2 linked regions of the Arabidopsis thaliana genome follow. The protein of the gene in region 1 binds, or shares a complex with, the protein of each later gene. Each region holds a gene or a part of one and is shown in the gene's direction. Other genes may lie near its edges.

Region 1 (8,672 bases):
ATAAACCTAATCTGTGCGATCAACATTCTGAAACCGAGAATCTCTTTCGTCTTCTTCTCCTTCTTGCATCTTCGAATCACTTTGTTGATCCTCTTCTCTATCTCTGTTAATTTAGGTTTAGAGTTGTAATACTCCATCACCAAGTAATGATAAGCATCGACGCGTATCGGATCCTTTTCGAGAATCTCCTCGAAAGCTTCGATTGCTGATTCACTTTTCCCGTGGTATGAGAGAATCCGAGCCTTCATAGCCGGCCATTTTCGTTCATATGGCTCGATCTCGATCAGACGGTCCAGAAATACAATCGCCTGCTCATGTTTATCGGACTTAAATTTGATTTCCGTCAGCAATGATAAAGCATTCACATCGTTTGATTGTGTCTCGAGGTGCTTCTCGAGTGTCGTCTCTACCACAGCAACTGGAGTCATCGCGGCGCGTTTGTTGACGAAGTAAAACGATGCTGAGAACAGAGCTGCGGCTGCGGTGAGGCTGATGAAGGTGGTTTTAAGCAGTGAAGGTTTATGATTTGACGCCGACGAAGATGATGAAGCTCTTATGACGGGAAATCTGATTGGTGTTGACTTTGCTTGGTCTCTGAATAAAAGAGGAAACGAGAGTTTTGAAGGAGATTTTCGCTCGACGAGGTTGATCTGAAGGTTAAGTTTTGTTCTAGAGAATTGAAACGTCGCCGGAGACGCCATTTTTGCTTCTGAGAAATCCCAATAACTAAGTCAACGCTGAAATGGAAAGAGAAGAACAGAGCAGATTAAAGAAGAGCAGAGCAAATAAGTTGGAAATCGACGAAATTTTTTAAAAAGGATGCCGTCTTGTAAAAGGCCAAGGCCCATTAGATGAGCCCACGATTAGTTCGGTTCCTCTCGTGAATTCAACCGTAGATTATCTTGTATCAACGCACGTGATAACGCCACGTAGACGATCCGTGAGATTGATCAAAAACCAATCATGTTCGTATCAGCACCTCTATATATATCTCGGTATCACTCGGAGAGCGATCATTAATCGTCAATTTACAACTAGTCGCGAAATCCGAATTTTATCCAAAGCAATGGCACCGAAGGCAGAGAAGAAACCGTCGGAGAAAGCACCAAAGGCAGATAAGAAGATCACGAAAGAAGGAGGAAGCGAGAGGAAGAAGAAGACTAAGAAGAGCACAGAGACGTACAAGATCTACCTATTCAAGGTGTTGAAACAAGTTCATCCTGATATCGGGATCTCTGGAAAAGCCATGGGAATCATGAACAGTTTCATCAACGACACCTTCGAGAAAATTGCTCTGGAATCGTCGCGATTGGCTAGGTATAACAAGAAACCGACGATCACGTCCCGGGAAATCCAAACCGCCGTAAGGCTCGTGTTGCCTGGTGAATTAGCGAAGCACGCTGTTTCTGAGGGTACCAAAGCCGTCACCAAATTCACCAGTTCTTAGATTAGGTTCTTTTTTTCTCTTCGATTTTATTTTCGGTTAATATGTTCACCAGTTGATTTCAAAGATATAATTTTCGGCAGTCTCTTCGATATTTTCTATGATTGATTTTACGTTATGATGCTATTGAAATTAGGGTTTACAAATCTTTGGGTATAATAAATACAAAATTGTAAAGGATCTCGTTTCTTCCTCAGTTTCCCCGGGAAATAAACGGAAATTATAAATCTTGAGATTCTTTAATTGGCCCAGCCCAACAAACACCAATCTCAATTTAGTCTGAACCGATATAAATTGAAATTAGAAATACCGTACCAAAATAAACCGAACCGCAATCATCACCGGTCTTGGAAGTTCCAAATCTCTGAAACGGTAGGCATCGATCTCTCTCTCTACAGAGTTTGACTTTCACTCTCTCCGTGGAGCACCGCTCATCTTTCCCGGAGCTGTAGTCAGTGAGGTGACCGGACTAAATCTCCGCCATGGAATCTCGAAACGACGAGGAGGCGCCGTTGATCTCTGCCTCTGGTGAGGATCGGAAAGTCAGAGCTGGAAAGTGCTACACAAGGGATGTTCATATCCTCAGCATCTCCTTTCTGCTAATCTTCCTCGCTTACGGTGCTGCTCAGAACCTCGAAACTACCGTAAATAAGGTGCTCTACCGTTAAATTATACTGTCATTTTGTATTGATGGATCTTAAGAGAGAGGAATATGAATTTAGGAGCAGGACATGTTAGACTGTGTGTGTGTGTTGTGATATTTGAGTTGTTTTGATTACTTCAGGATTTGGGAACAATCTCTCTGGGGATATTGTATGTGTCCTTCATGTTTTGCTCCATGGTTGCATCTTTGGTTGTCCGGTTAATGGGATCAAAGAATGCTCTGGTTTTAGGAACTACTGGGTATTGGCTCTTTGTTGCTGCTAATCTGAAGCCATCATGGTATTATCATATGTTCTCTTGCTTCTTTTGGCCACCTGTCTCCATCTATTTGAATCTTTTAGTCTTTAACACTTTTTGTCTTGATATATGGTTATTGGTTCTAGGTTTACTATGGTACCAGCCTCTTTATACCTTGGATTTGCAGCTTCAATAATATGGGTTGGTCAGGTGACACTACATGCTCTTGTTTTCTCTTAATGTTATTTATGCGGATATATAGTGGATTTCATGACCTTAAATTACATTGTATTGACTGCATTAGGGAACATACCTTACATCAATTGCGAGAAGCCATGCTACAGATCATGGCCTGCATGAAGGTTCGGTAATAGGTGTCTTCAATGGGGAATTTTGGGCTATGTTTGCCTGCCACCAGGTGCATGTTTCTTTTATTATGCTTTCTTAATGCTCTTTCTTCTTTGGTTACCTCAGAATCTTGTATGCACTTACTCTTAATTCTTCTTGTGACACATTTCATGTCAATCTTTTTGTAGCTGTTTGGGAATCTCATCACACTTGCATTACTGAAAGATGGAAAGGTACTAACTTTTCTTTATCGTTGACAGCAATCTCATGTATTAGAGTTATTAGTATTGACTACTGTTTAATGAAGTGATCATTCCTAAAGTTGGAGTATTGAATAGCAGATCATGCTACACATTCTCAGTGATGAATTATATATACCTCCTTCTAGTTGGGTATCCCCACCATTGTTTTCTTCTTGTTGACATGACTGTAGGAAGGAAGCACCAGTGGCACTACCTTATTGATGTTGGTGTTTCTCTTCAGTATGACATTAGGAACAATACTTATGTTCTTCATTCGGAAAATTGATGGAGAAGATGGAAAAGGACCTGTGGGTTCTCCTGTGGGCTTAGTTGATTCCTTGGCATCTCTTCCAAGGATGATAATTACTCCTTTGCTCGACATACGGATGCTACTGATTGTCCCACTCCTTGCATATTCAGGATTGCAACAAGCATTTGTTTGGTATGTCTCTCAACAAACTGGATATACATTCCCCGTTTTCCCTTTTATTCTCACAAGGATATCCTTAAATGATTAGGATTTATTGCGATCAAAGTTATTATCGGTCAGGCCCTAGATAACGTACATAAAGTTCATTGTGGTGGTTGGAGTCTCAGGATCTTAGCAGTGAATAGTTGTTTCCAATCTATACATAAGTTTTCATTTCTTGTCAGCGAAATCAGCAAAAGTTTGTTATTTTTTTTGTAAGATATACTGATATAAATCTTCATTATTCTTACAAGTTACATTTTCCACTCTATAGGGCTGAGTTTACAAAGGAAATTGTTACGCCGGCGATTGGTGTCTCAGGTGTTGGTGGGGCGATGGCAGTCTACGGAGCTCTTGATGCAGTTGTAAGTTAAAAGGAAACGTAAAAAATCATCCTTTTTTACTCTCGTGTTTTTTTTATGTGGTTAATCCTTATTTTTCCTGCTGTAAAATCATTCTAGTGTTCAATGACTGCTGGAAGGTTTACCTCTGGTTTGTCATCGATCACCTTCATAGTTTCTGGTGGAGCTGTTGCTCAAGCTTCTGTGTTTCTCTGGCTTCTTCTCGGGTACAGGTTTGATACTTCTACACCCTATTTTCATTCAAACCATTAGCAACTTCACAAATAGAGACATATCGAGTCTAGAAGTCCTTGTGTTTCTGAATTCATGAAATGATTTCCTCATAAAGCTTCATTATGGGTATTGGTATGTATTAGTGGCATTGATCAAGCAACTTCCTTTGGTAGTATCCCGATTTCTTTGTCATATTTGTGAAACTATGCAAGTTCTGAAGAGAATTAGGAATTGCGGGCACCTGACAACCTATAAGTGTTTCTGAAGAATCTAAGCTATGGTGATATGGTGATGCAGGCAAACTAGCGGAGTACTTGGCACAGCTTACCCACTTATAATGGCGGCCATATTAGGAATTGGTGATGGAATATTAAATACTCAAATCAGTGCTCTTCTCGCATTACTCTTCAAACATGACACGGTTAATATTATCAAAATATTATTATTGTTATTCTCTCAACTGACAAATCCTCTAAACGGTCTCCTATGTTTGTACTTGTGAAAACAGGAAGGAGCATTTGCGCAGCTAAAAGTATGGCAGAGCGCAGCAATAGCGATAGTGTTCTTCCTAAGCCCGTACATATCACTGCAAGCAATGCTCATAGTGATGCTGGTTATGGTCTGTGTTTCACTCTTCTCTTTCCTGTTTTTAGCTCTTAAGGTAGAGAATGTATTTACCCACGACGAATAACTCTTTGATCTGTTCACATTCGGGGAGATCACAAGTGTGAAAAGCTTAAAACAGTATTGTCTATTCAATTGTAAAGAACAAAAATGGTCGTTTTGTATAATAATTAATGTCTCTGGAAGTTCCTTATAATTGAGACTTGGGAAGTATGCAACTTTTCAATTTTTCAGTCTTTCCTTTATTCATGTCCTGGATATGACATTTGTAGCAAACCGATATTGACCAAATTAAACCACAAGAACCAAATCTAATAGATGTGAATTTCTCGGTTAAATTAACTAGAAACGTCGTCGTTTGGAGCTAGCTTTTACTTTATTTTTGTAAAACATGTGTTTCATTCAGAGAGACTTCACAGTTGAAGAAACACATTTCACGAGTTCCCTGCTCTTCCAGAATTCTCTATCACGAAATTCTCTGCGCTTTCGAAGGTAAATAATCGGTGATTTCTTTAGGATCTTTTTTTATATACCTTCATATTTTCGAATTCAAATTCTGGTTCTTAGGCATAATTTAGTCCCCGAGGTTTACACTGTGATCTGAGCAAAGCCTTTGTTTCATCTCACAGGTATCAGATTCAACCAATGTCGTGGTTTGGTTATCTTATGAATCAATATTATTTTTATTAACACGTATTGTTCTTACTAGATTTCGTGTTCCAGATCAGGTCTTGTTTGTAGAAGAAATATATATTGAATTTGTAATCAAAATCATGGATTCATTATAATGTATGACCGTAATCGTTGCTACCAATTTTGATAATGATTCGGATATCCTCTAGATCTAGCTGAGATTTTGGAGTGATTTCTACAAGATATAGCTGAGAATGTAGTAGATGTGAACATTTTTGTGAATATCTGATTCGTTTAATCTTCAGACTTCACTTGCTAAGCTTAGCTCTTTGTTCTAATATTCTCTCCAATGGTTATTGTGTTACAGATGTTTGACGATCAAGATCTGGGATTCTTTGCCAATTTCCTGGGAATCTTCATTTTCATACTGGTGATTGCCTACCATTTCGTCATGGCTGACCCTAAATTCGAATAGAAATGAGGTTCAGAATCATTGTTGGTTTCTACAATGTTATGTCAGACTCAACATGTCATTCAGATTCGATACTTGAAGATGTTTTTTTGTAGCTCTTAAGGAAGATGTTTAAGCTTTTGTAATACTTGGTTTTAGCTGCAGAAATCTTTTTTTTTTGTAGTGCTGTTATTCATATACTTTGATAATTCGCTATAAAAGGCTTGTTTCTATAGCAATTTCCGGGTCTTGCATGTTAAATTATGAGCGGATTTGTTATCTGATAGGTTGGTGAAAGCTTTGCTGTATATTTTTGTTTGGATTTACATGTTCATTGATACAAGACCAATCACGAGTCCGTGTATCTGTTAGAGCTAGAGCTAGATGAACTCCAGTTAATAATGAGAATTGTTCTGTTTGCAGCGTTTCTATGTTTTGTTGCTCTAGAGAAACAATTTGCTTCGTTTTTGCTCTTTTTTAGATTAATTTTGTACACCAAACGTTTCTTACAAAATGGTTTGTGCTATAGGTACTAACATCCTCTAGAATTCTTCCAAAATCAAGTTGTATGGGTTATTTCTGTCATAATACATATTGTTTCCTGCATTAATCTGCTAATGCAGAACCCTAGACTGCTCAGACATAGGGCAGTTTCACTCTTGAACGCATCGTCTGCTGTGTTACAACTTATCTTGTCTGTTGCTTCCTTCAGTAGCATGACGAAAGAAACCGAAAACCTCTCCACATCAGCCTGGCTTGGACCCAGCTCCATGTATGAGTAGTTGTCGTTTGATGTTGTTCCTGCTTCAACATCATGGCAGATCTTTCTCTTCTGCAACTCCTTTTGGAGTCTTGCTTGAGACTTGGTTTGAGAAATCTCTTTTAAGCATTTCACCGAAGGGTGAAGCTTTTCTTGGAAGGCTCTAAGCTCATGAGTGATGTTGTCCCAAGGAAATGCAAGTGTTGGTTGAACTCCAGATAGATTTTTGAGGCCATCACAAACATAGAGACAAAGATCAGATATCTTCGAGAAAGAGCCCAAAAGCCTGTTGTAACTGTCCGTGTTGAGCCGGCGGAGGAACGGAATCTTAGGCTCTGTTAAGGCTTCTGCTGCAAACCTCTCTAATGCTTCAACATGAGATTTGAGTTTTACCTGACTTTTTCTCAAATCTGCAACCACTTTCTGGTTCTTCTGCTCAGAACAAAGAACGAGTGATTGGATGCAATCTAAGAGGGCATCGAGACAGTGTGAAATTTCGGTTCTTGCAAGCGTTGCTGCTCTCGCAGGGGTGACAAGAATCTCCCCGAAGACAAAACAGAGCAACCCGATCGAAGCTTCAACGATGCGAGCGATTGCAAATTCAGTTGGAGCTCCATAATTTCTCCTCCCAAGTATCAACAGTGCAGCAATTGCAGCCGTAACTCCTCCAGGCTGGCCATAGACTTTGCTGTGCCTCATGAAGACGGCGAGGATTATCCAAGGGAGAAGAGGTAAGAACCTGAATTCTTCTAGTCTTTGGAAAACAGAACAACATATTAGACCGTAGACTGATCCCATGGCTGTCCCTTGTAGACGAGAATTTGCTACTGTTAGTGTTGCTTGCCTACCGCTTACAAGGCTAATGGCTACAGTTAGACCCGACCAATACCCGTTATTTTTATTATACAGTATACCAAACAGCACCGCAAGGCCAAGAGAAATTGAGCACTTGAATGCAAAAACAAACCTTTCTCTGGCCATCCAGACACAGAGAATGTCCCAAAACTTTCTGGCCATGGACAACCCTTCGTTTGCTGGATGAATTTCTTCCTCCGTGGTCCTTCCATTTACGGATTTACTGTCTTGTCTCAAAGATAAGAAATCACCTCTGAAGAGTTCTACGCAGTACCGGAAGAAGCAAACCGGTAAAGCTGCAGTAGACAGAGACTCAGCCTCATGATGCCACCCTAGACTATCTTGGGACTTGAGAGTAGATTCTGACCGTGGAGCAATATGTGTCCTGGGACCTTCTAAAAGACGAGTCAGTTCGTCGCGGCTCATGCCTTGAGGAAAGGAACTGCAAGAGCCCAAAGCCAGCTCCAATCCCCTCAACAGAAAATCTGTTGCATGCAGTTTCTCTGCAGGATCCAACTTCTGCTTCCTGCTCAAGAATCTTGTATCTGGTCTCTCCCATGATATACGCTCCTGTTGCCAAAGAATTGATTAGTCAGAAACAGATAATTAGTCCCACAAGACGGGTCAAAACAAAAGAGTTACAGTTATATAACAGATGATATTTCAGTGATTATGCTTAATTTTGTTTAGACAGTTGGCTTACATGGTGGATTTTGATGTTCTTGAGTGTGTTTTTAGCTGCTGCAGACAATGAAGCAGCCCGTGCGATCAAAACCTGAGCTGTGGTGTTGTCTCGTGCCATCATGATCTCCACAAACATATTCAACCTCTCAAGAGCATTTTCAGCATATAATTTGCAACCCTTACTCATCTGCAAACCATTTAAAACCCAAGGTAAGTATTTTGTGACCATCTCATCGTCGTGGAAAAACAAAAAAAAAACTCAAGACTCACCTGACTATGAGCCAGCCTTGGAAACGGGAGAAGCACTGCGATGAGTGAAGCAATGGCTCCAAGTGCTGTACTGCCTGCCACATGAACCGGGAGCATGAATACATGAGCCACCTCTCCATTGAACACCACAAAAGTCACGTAGACTACAACAATCTGCCCAAAGGCAATCCGTTTAGTCAGCAGACTCGTGGACACGGGGAAAGCCACTATGAATGAAGCTAGAGCCACAGCAACTGGAGCCACCAAGCCATTCCCTAGTGAAGCTGGTCCAACCACCAAGACACTCACTAGCGCAATGGCTATTGTCTGAAAAGTGGCGTAAGAGACATCAAGACAGCACTTGAGAACTTCGCCGTATGTTGGTTCAGCATCGGAGAGCCAGATCAAGATTGTGGTCAGGTAAGAAAAGGCTGGAAA
Region 2 (8,937 bases), on another chromosome or scaffold:
TTGGAAAGAAATACTTGTGCTATGTGTAAATGTCCTTTGACTATCAAGACGAGAAATGGGCTAGAAACATATATGGGAGACAAGTTCTAGAGGAAAAATGATGTTAGCAAGCTTAGTTGACATTGTGGTTCAAAGTAAGTTTACGAACATATTTAATTTATAGTGTGTAAGAAAACGTACTATTTATTTTATCCCACCAGTATGTCATATTATTATTTTTATACCCAAAAGTGAGGCAATCGTAATAAAATGCAAGAAATTCAAAATTGTCAATCAAAAATGAATTGTTTTTCAAATTAAAAATGCGATAAATAGTGTTCATCACTTGGCACGTAAAAGGTTGACTTTTAATATCGGAATGAATCCGGACATAACACATGTCCAACTTGGCATATTTAGCAAACTTGGACTATTTATTAGAAGATAGTGTTTATAGAAGAAATGTACATTAAAAAACGGTAAATCGCTAATCCTAGGCCTATCCTCACGATTGTGATGTAATGTAACCCACTTCCGTTGATTTCTTCAAAGAAATCAAAAGTTGTGGGTTCTTCTAGAGATGCTACTACTACAACGATCGATGGACGATTGTCATTGATGTTATCGAATGGTAAATCGGACAAAAGTTTCTGGATATGCTCTCTTATAATATCACAATCACAAATGCTATTTCTTTTCAATAAGGTATTTGGGCTTCATTAGTAGCTGTAGCTGAACCTTTTGTTTGTCACATGTCTTTACTCTTATGCTCATCCATGTTCGTTTATATTTTTGACCCACTGTTCTGTTCTGAGACCTTAAGTGTAAGAAGAATTCTCAAGTTAATATACATCTTAAAAAGCAGTTATGAAATATAGCCGACTAAATAAATAATTAATTAAATAAATAAACAGAGGATATAGTCCATAACAAAATAAGAAATGCCAAAAAAAAGAGAGTAAAATTATTACATAAACCATTTCCACTTTAATACACTCAAAACAAAATTGATTTTAAGCCCAAGGGCTAATGGAACACTCCCAAGGAAGAGTAGGGAACCTCTCACTGTCTTTGCAATAATCGTATACGACGAGATTACGCTGCACCCACGCATAATCCATCTTCTGTGTCTTGGACAAATGCCACGCGTCGTACTGATCCCACCAATTCTCTGTTGTGGTAGAGACGCATGCAGGGAATGGATCCTTCCAACGGCAGCCTTCGACGGCGAAGTCCTTGTAAGAAGAGACGAATGGAGCTTTTTTCCAGTCAGTCTTCTCCAGACCACCACGTGTAGCCCAATCGTCAGCGTTCCAAATGCTGGAGAACAAGTACATCGGCTTCTGGTTCGGGAAGAAGTCGTTGTTTGGTACCTTATCACTGTTCTTGTATACTCGAATTGGTACCCTATCCACGAAGAACCTGGTTTGGATTGGATTAAACCGGGTTATGCATTGTACCAATCGATAAAATTAGCTTTGATTGACCAATTCGGTTCGAGTTGGTCTAGTTTGAGTTCTTTAAAGTTTGGTTAAGATAGGCTTGCTTTGGTCGGTTTGAACTTTAAACCAGATTGGAATTTTTGTGTCGGTCGAAATTTGAATCTGCACCATTTAAGTTTTCTCAAAGCTAAACGTAAGAAAACAGGATTGAACCTATTGTGAAATTAATCTGTAAACTGAATTATGTTATTGTGAGTGGAATGTTGGTTCTAACTTCGAACCGATCATAAACCTAAGGTTCCGGTTTCTACCCAAAATTCCCGGTACAGTTCGTGGTATCTCTATATATGTAGCCAACTAACCATTAGCCAAGATCAAGAGAGGACTTACACAAGCTGGTGGTTATTCCAAAGAATTGAGTAGGTGTGATAATCCTTGGTCGGGTCGAACCAGAGGGAATGTCGCATCTCCCGATTCCCGGTTCCGTTCTTATACACATTGGTCTGAATAATGTAAGGCTGTCCGGTTCGGTTCCCTAGAAATTCGAAATCTATCTCGTCTCTCTCCGGTCCTGCCCCATTCTCCGAACACATCTGCTCAACCAAATTTAATCTAAAATAATTAATACAAAACAAAATCATTGGTTATCTTCTTTACAAAATTGAAACATTAAATAAGAACGACGGCTCACGTAGTAAGCGGTGACGACGCCGGCGGAGTCGCCTCCGACGAGCTTTAGCTTCATACTAAACCATCCGAATCTATACATGTGCTTTGTCTGAAATCCACATCCTGTTTTATTTTTTATCCAATCAGAATATTTAAACTTTCGATATAATAATCAAGAGACTAAGTTAAAAAATGTCATGTAGATTTAAGTAGGAACAGAGTAAGTATCAGTGTAATTTCGAAAGACTAGAACGGCATTGATCCTAAACCGGAAGCAAACTGGATTTGAACGTACCGGTGTCGTTATCTAAGGAAAGATTCCAGATCTCTCCATCATCGGAAGTCGTGAAGTGATTTTCAGACCACATAATGTTGAAATTATCTTCAAACGATTGTGTCGGTGTTGCTGCGATAGAGGACGACGCCATTAGAGCCGTCATGAACAAGAACAGAGCCGTCATGGCAGAACAGCTCGTTATGATCCTCCTTTCCGTCTCCATTGGTTGTCTCTACTTCGAATATTTCGAAGAGAGAGAGAGAGAGAGGTAATGCAATCTACACTTGTTCCGTGAGTGAGAAGAGTATAGAGCTTTCTTGCTTTTATTATAAAGACCGGGGAAATGACTGTTTTGACCATTAATAATTCTTTTAATATGCTATTGCGTTTAGACTTTTGATACGGTTTTTTTTCTAAGATTTTCATGTAATAATGATGTTTACGATAATTTGTAAAAGAAAGCAAAAAGGGTAAATGAAAAAGTTTAATTAAAGAAAACTAACAGTAAAACTCAATGATTTTTATGTTAATCAAGTGTAAACTGTTTGGTTATAATACACACGGTTTAGCTAATTAAAAGCCGACCGGTTTATTCATTAAGTTGCTGAGATAGGTCATTTGAACCATATTGATGAGCTAGCAAGGGTACTATAGGAAATATAGAAAACAACAGCAGAACATGGAGAATTGGATCTCCAGGCTGCCACCAAGTGGAAGTGGGATCCATAGAAATGTTCATGTAAAAGCAAAACCAAAAACATTATTTAACTCTGTACTTTAATTCTTTGGTTAATCTTCACTTAGTAAATCTGATATGGGAATATGTCTAACAAAACCCAAATAATATAGGCGAACATGCTTCGGAACATAATATTTTGTTCAACAAAAGAAAGAGTTTGCCTTGCCTCTCTCATATTTTGTTAGCCCAAGACAAGGCACGTGAAACAAGCACGTTATGAATAAGAAAGCAGGGAAATAATACACCTGGAGTTACTAAATTATTAGGTTGACAAAGATTAGTTTATTGGATTGTCTCTTGCATAATCCGGTATTCTTACATTTTTACATAATTACTATTTTTTGTATGGATATGAATGTTTCAGATCTAAGATTGTAGACTGAGGTTTATATAATACCACAAGTATATGCAACTCGACCTTGTTACTTTAGACTATAATAGAGTAGTATTAAGATTATGATAATGACAAAAATGATTTCTTATACATTAATAATACCATTTAAATGATTTACGAGCGATGAAATAAATATGCATGGTCTAGTTTTATGTAAACTCTCTAATCCATGTATGAGTCTCTCTTTTTTGTATTACTAAGTGGTTTCTCATATGTTTCCTGTAAAAGAATCTCAACTTGTCGGCATGTCGGTCCTAATAAGAGAAACCAGAAGTGATCATCAATTTTATTGTTAATTATAGAATGTTTAAGTTTCACATATCATACAACAAGACAGTTTGGCCGAGTGGTCTAAGGCGCCAGATTTAGGCTCTGGTCCGAAAGGGCGTGGGTTCAAATCCCACAGCTGTCAATTTCTTTTCCTTTTTTTCCCTTCTTTAAAACTAAACCCTCTAACTCATCAAGAAGGTTCAATCAAACCTATAAACACCTAGAATTTTGAACAGTTCTTCACTTCTCCAGTATTTCCCGGCAATTCCAGATCTCTCTATCTCCTTTCTTCTTCAAATCCAATCAGAGAGTGATCTAAAAATGGTGATTCAAACGAATCTCTCATATCGTTTCTTCATCTTAATTGTGTTTTTATTTACCCTAGCGAATCCAAAATCAGATTCAGATCTCAAAAACGAACTAGTCTCCCTCCGATCAACCGCCGAATCAGGCGTGATCTCCTTCAACAACGACGACGTTTCCAAATTCATAACCTCCGTATCCACTCCTAGACCTTACTCACTCATCATCTTCTTCGACGCCGTTCATCTCCACGGCAATAGCCAGCTACGTCTTCCAGAGTTCCGCCGCGAATTCAGACTCGTCTCCGCCACTTTCATCACCAACAACAACAATGAATCTAACGGCACAAAGCTCTTCTTCTGCGAGATCGAATCAACTCACTCCGAGGCTTCTTTCCGCCGCTTCGCCGTCGAGTCACTACCACACATTTCCCTCGTTAGCCCCACGACAGAGAATTTAACAGAATCAGATCAAATGGACGGTGGAGATTTCACTGGATTAGCCGAATCAATGGCAGAGTTCGTCGAACGTCAAACAAAACTCACCGTTTGTTCAATCCAACGACCACCACTCATATCAAAGACACAAATCGGAATCATCGTTGCTATAATCATAATCTCGACTCCGATTCTCATCAAGAAGATTCTAAAAGGAGAAACACTTCTCCATGACCATAGAATCTGGTTAGTTGGCGCGGTTTTCGTCTACTTCTTCAGCGTCTCGGGGACAATGCATAACATCATTAGAGAAATGCCAATGTATATCAAAGATTATGAAGATTCAAGTAAGTTTGTTTTCTTTATAGAAGAATCAGAGATGCAGCTTGGAGCAGAAGGTTTCTTTGTAGGGTTTTTGTATACTGTTGTTGGATTGCTTTTGGCGTTTGTTACTAATGTAGTTGTACGAGTCAAGAAACTCGATGAGCAAAGGATGGCTATGCTTTTGGCTCTGTCTATATCGTTTTGGGCTGTGAGGAAAGTTGTTTACTTGGATAATTGGAAGACTGGTTATGAAATTTACCCATATTGGCCATCGAGTTGGCGGGGATGAGTGATCTTCACGTAAGGTTAGTTTTTCAAGATTGTGGAACTGATTAGTTAGTGTTTTGGCTTTCAATACTTGAACATGCATATAGCCAAGTTTATAGTTTAAAGATTCAATAATTGCAGTTTAGGATTCACGAATTTGTGCTAACTAGAGGAATGATTGCTCGAAGACTTATAATGCTTATGGTGTTGCTTTGCATCCATTGAGAAAGAGTACTCTACCAAATAATCGTTGCTTTACTATGTGTGAAGGTTTGGAAAAAGATTGTATGCAATACTTGACCCACAAGAAACCTTCTTAAAAGTGAAAAGATTCTCTCTTTGTTCTTTTCTTCCAGCTTTGTTTAAAGTTAAGCATCTAATTCCTTCACACCCTAGAATTTAATTACTTAAGAGAGCTCATGTTAATATTACTACTGTTTGGTTTTGCTAAGAAAATCAATTTTATTTTGGAAATTTTGACTATGGCAGAGACAAATAAAGGAATTGAAGAAGAAGTGGCAAGTGCTTTTGTGAATCACTACTACCATCTCTTTGACAACGATCGATCATCGCTTTCTTCTCTCTACAATCCCACCTCTTTGCTCACTTTTGAAGGCCAAACGATCTACGGCGTGGATAACATCTCCAATAAGCTTAAACAACTTCCGTTCGATCAATGCCATCATTTGATCAGCACCGTCGATTCTCAGCCGTCTTCAATGGCCGGTGGATGTGGTGGAATCCTAGTTTTTGTGAGCGGTAGCATCCAATTACATGGAGAGGATCATCCTCTTAGGTTTAGCCAGGTCTATCTCTTATCTATTTGTAATCGATTCGAAGGTTTCATTTGGTTAAAACAATCTTAGGTTTAGCTTAATCGATTTGCATAAAACAAAATGTTATTTTCATTGTTTTCTAGTTTCCATCGGTTTATCTTGGACCCCCGCTATAACAATCTTCAATTTTTAATGTTGTTACTAAATTATATGAATCAAACTATAAGCTATATAGTATGAGCCTGTATTATTTTATTTTTGTTGGATTTTTAGCTGACTTGAATAATAACATTATTTATTAATTGCAGACGTTTCACTTGATTCCGGTTCTGCAAGGAAGTTTCTTCGTCCAAAATGAGATGTTTCGGCTCAACTATGGTTGAACTTATTATAACTTTAATGTTTGTAATCGATTGATCTCTCTTATACGCCGAAATCCAACTGATAATGTAGTCAAATATTTTATGAAAATCTATCGTTTATCTTGACTAGTAAAACATATTGACTTTTTCTGTTATTTTCATATATGTAAACAAGTTTCGAGTTATTGAAAAACATTCGGCAATTATAGATTGGAAAAATCCATACAATATAAGACTATTAGTGAACGTAGATTCACATGATCCACTTTTTTAAAAAAAGCCGAATAAGACTTTTCTCTGCTCTCATATAATCTCGTCCACTCAATAGTTATTAAAAATAGGGATATCTCTGTGTATTTTAAAAATAGTGAAAATTGACGAAAAAATCGAACAAATATGAGGCTACTACTATCTTTTGACTCTTGACCATTCTCTTTTACTCAAAAACATTTCCTTCTCTTCCACGAAACCATTTTTCTCTCTCTCCCTTTTCCTGATCAACTTCTCACGAACTACAATATGAAGAACCGGAGCAAAAACTTAGCCACCCTGAGTTTGATGATAATTACGTTATTGACATGGTCGGATATCGTAGTAGGACAAGAAGCACTACTAGGAAAGAAAGTATTGCCGCTATGCCACAGAGAATGTATGCCAATATGCATGAAAGTGATCGAAGCCACGCAAGACATTTGCGAACCTGCATGCCAATCTGGTTGTCTTCAGCTTCAAGGTAGAGGCACCGGACTTTCAGCTTCCGATCAAGGAGTCGATATGGTCATTGCATAAATTAATATCTTTACCGGAAAAAGAAATCAAGATTTTGATATTACCAACATAGTTGCTTGATGTCGTTCACATGAATAGATTGTAAAATAGGGTTTCATATTTTGTATGATAAATGCATCATCCAATCCCTCCAAAACTAAAACAAAATGTAGTTAATCTACAGAATCCGACATCGTATACAATTTTTGTTTTTATAATTCATGGGGACAAGAAGAAGATCCCTTATGTGTTCGTCTCTTTATCTCATGATCAATCCTAAGATCATTTTAATTTATTAAATAAAATTACAGGTTAGCTTACAAACAAACAGTATATATATTGATACAAATCCAACGTCAGAAGAATTCATAAATAAATATCGATCGAGTGAGAGACAGTTTATAGTTCTTCTGAATTATTTTTGCAACAAAAACATAACAAAAATTATTCGTCACAGGGGTTATGACATTTAGCAAAAAAAATTACTTTGTCATAACCAAGTTATCTTTATCTCCGTTGTTATTTTAAATTGAAAAAAATGGATGACATACTAGTAATCTAGTATTTTCATAATTTTCAATCAATATGTATTCATTGATCGTTTAGGATAATGTTCAATTCTGGAATTTTGAACAATCATATAGCTCGTTAAACACACACAGAAAACAAATGGCTAGTAAATAAAACGATATGTCCAAAATATTCTTGCCATATTAAATTTAAAATATTTTGAATTTATTTGTCTGAGATGTTTATCCCCAAGCCCCCAGCTCTATACTAAGATAATGAAAAGAATATGGCCACCAATTATGCATTGCTTAGAATAATCGCACCAGTTGCGTCGTCTGTAAATGCATCAACTACAGCCTGAAAGAAAAAAAAGTGAAACTTAAAATTTTCAGAAAAGTACATAGGATTAACTTTGAATTATATATTTTGGGACCATTTTCTACAAATACAACATATTTATTTGACATAAAATAGTGAAGCATACATTTTTTTTTTTACGAGAAGTCTGTATTATTGATGATAAAAGTAGTGTTTTAATCATTGAAAATTCAACTAAATTGAGAAAAGTGCATCTAGAATTTTTATTTTCTTTCTTACTTTAGTGGACATATCCCTTTGGAAATTGAATACTATAAAAGAATGACCCTAGTGGCCCGGACAATAACAAAGTTAGAAAACAAGAAAATTATAATTAATTTACACTTGTAGATCGTATACTATAATTTACACTAGCAGACAGTCACAAACGTCGAGGACAATAAACTATCACTAAAAACTAAAAAGTAAATAAAATTAAGGAGAAAACAAAAATAAAATAAAATATTCTGCATATTTTTATCAATAATAGCAAATCACACAGTACGAGTCAAATGGATCAGACAAGTGATCTCAAACTCGGGAAGAAAATTTAGCAAAAAAAAAAACTCGGGAAGAAAAATTGATAGGAGACAAATATAACTAAAATAAAATAAAGACAAATCAAAATTTTAAAGTATTTTCTTTAACATTTACAAAAATAATCGAAGTTTAAGGATTTTATAGTTTCTATCATATGTAGACGCACAAGTGAAAGAAAAAAAAAAAAAAAAAAAACGCACAAGTGGTATCATCCATTGTTCTTCGCAATCGAATCTCCAATATTTTATTTTTATTGTTTCTTAATTCTTAAAAATGGGTCGGGTTCCGGGCCGACTCCATCTACTCCAAAACCACATGTTAAAACCGTGCCACCACTCAGAGCTATTGTAGATCTCTTTTAACTTTTTCATAACACTTGTAGAAAAATAGGAAACGAATCTGGTTTAAAATGTTTTTTTTTTTTGGATAAATCTTCTTTATATGTTATTTAAGGTTAATTACAAAATAAGAATAAAACTTTTCGTTGTATTTAGAAAAACTGAGTAGACATGGCTATATAACT

What was found.
Region 2: AT3G09455 (region 1) and AT1G11560 share a complex: the UniProt entries of both Arabidopsis thaliana proteins name them as parts of the oligosaccharyltransferase (OST) complex.

The regions. Positions count from the first base shown.
Region 1 is NC_003074.8:2,907,665-2,916,336, reverse strand, and holds AT3G09455 (dolichyl-diphosphooligosaccharide-protein glycosyltransferase subunit), read left to right. Parts: upstream 1-4,982; 5' UTR 4,983-5,231; intron 5,232-5,602; coding exon 5,603-5,710; 3' UTR 5,711-5,926; downstream 5,927-8,672. Other genes in the region: AT3G09490 (Tetratricopeptide repeat (TPR)-like superfamily protein), read right to left, coding at 1-701; AT3G09480 (Histone superfamily protein), read left to right, coding at 1,067-1,447; AT3G09470 (Major facilitator superfamily protein), read left to right, coding at 1,927-2,097, 2,229-2,386, 2,491-2,554, 2,649-2,762, 2,881-2,925, 3,126-3,376, 3,678-3,768, 3,865-3,977 and 2 more; AT3G09450 (fusaric acid resistance family protein), read right to left, coding at 6,246-7,871, 8,005-8,172, 8,256-8,672. UniProt on the Arabidopsis thaliana protein: Subunit of the oligosaccharyl transferase (OST) complex that catalyzes the initial transfer of a defined glycan (Glc(3)Man(9)GlcNAc(2) in eukaryotes) from the lipid carrier dolichol-pyrophosphate to an asparagine residue within an Asn-X-Ser/Thr consensus motif in nascent polypeptide chains, the first step in protein N-glycosylation.
Region 2 is NC_003070.9:3,877,697-3,886,633, forward strand, and holds AT1G11560 (Oligosaccharyltransferase complex/magnesium transporter family protein), read left to right. Parts: upstream 1-3,930; 5' UTR 3,931-4,091; coding exon 4,092-5,123; downstream 5,124-8,937. Other genes in the region: XTH8 (xyloglucan endotransglucosylase/hydrolase 8), read right to left, coding at 993-1,401, 1,812-2,014, 2,113-2,213, 2,386-2,590; NTL (NTF2-like protein), read left to right, coding at 5,521-5,907, 6,186-6,260; AT1G11572 (Plant thionin family protein), read left to right, coding at 6,759-7,028. UniProt on the Arabidopsis thaliana protein: Subunit of the oligosaccharyl transferase (OST) complex that catalyzes the initial transfer of a defined glycan (Glc(3)Man(9)GlcNAc(2) in eukaryotes) from the lipid carrier dolichol-pyrophosphate to an asparagine residue within an Asn-X-Ser/Thr consensus motif in nascent polypeptide chains, the first step in protein N-glycosylation.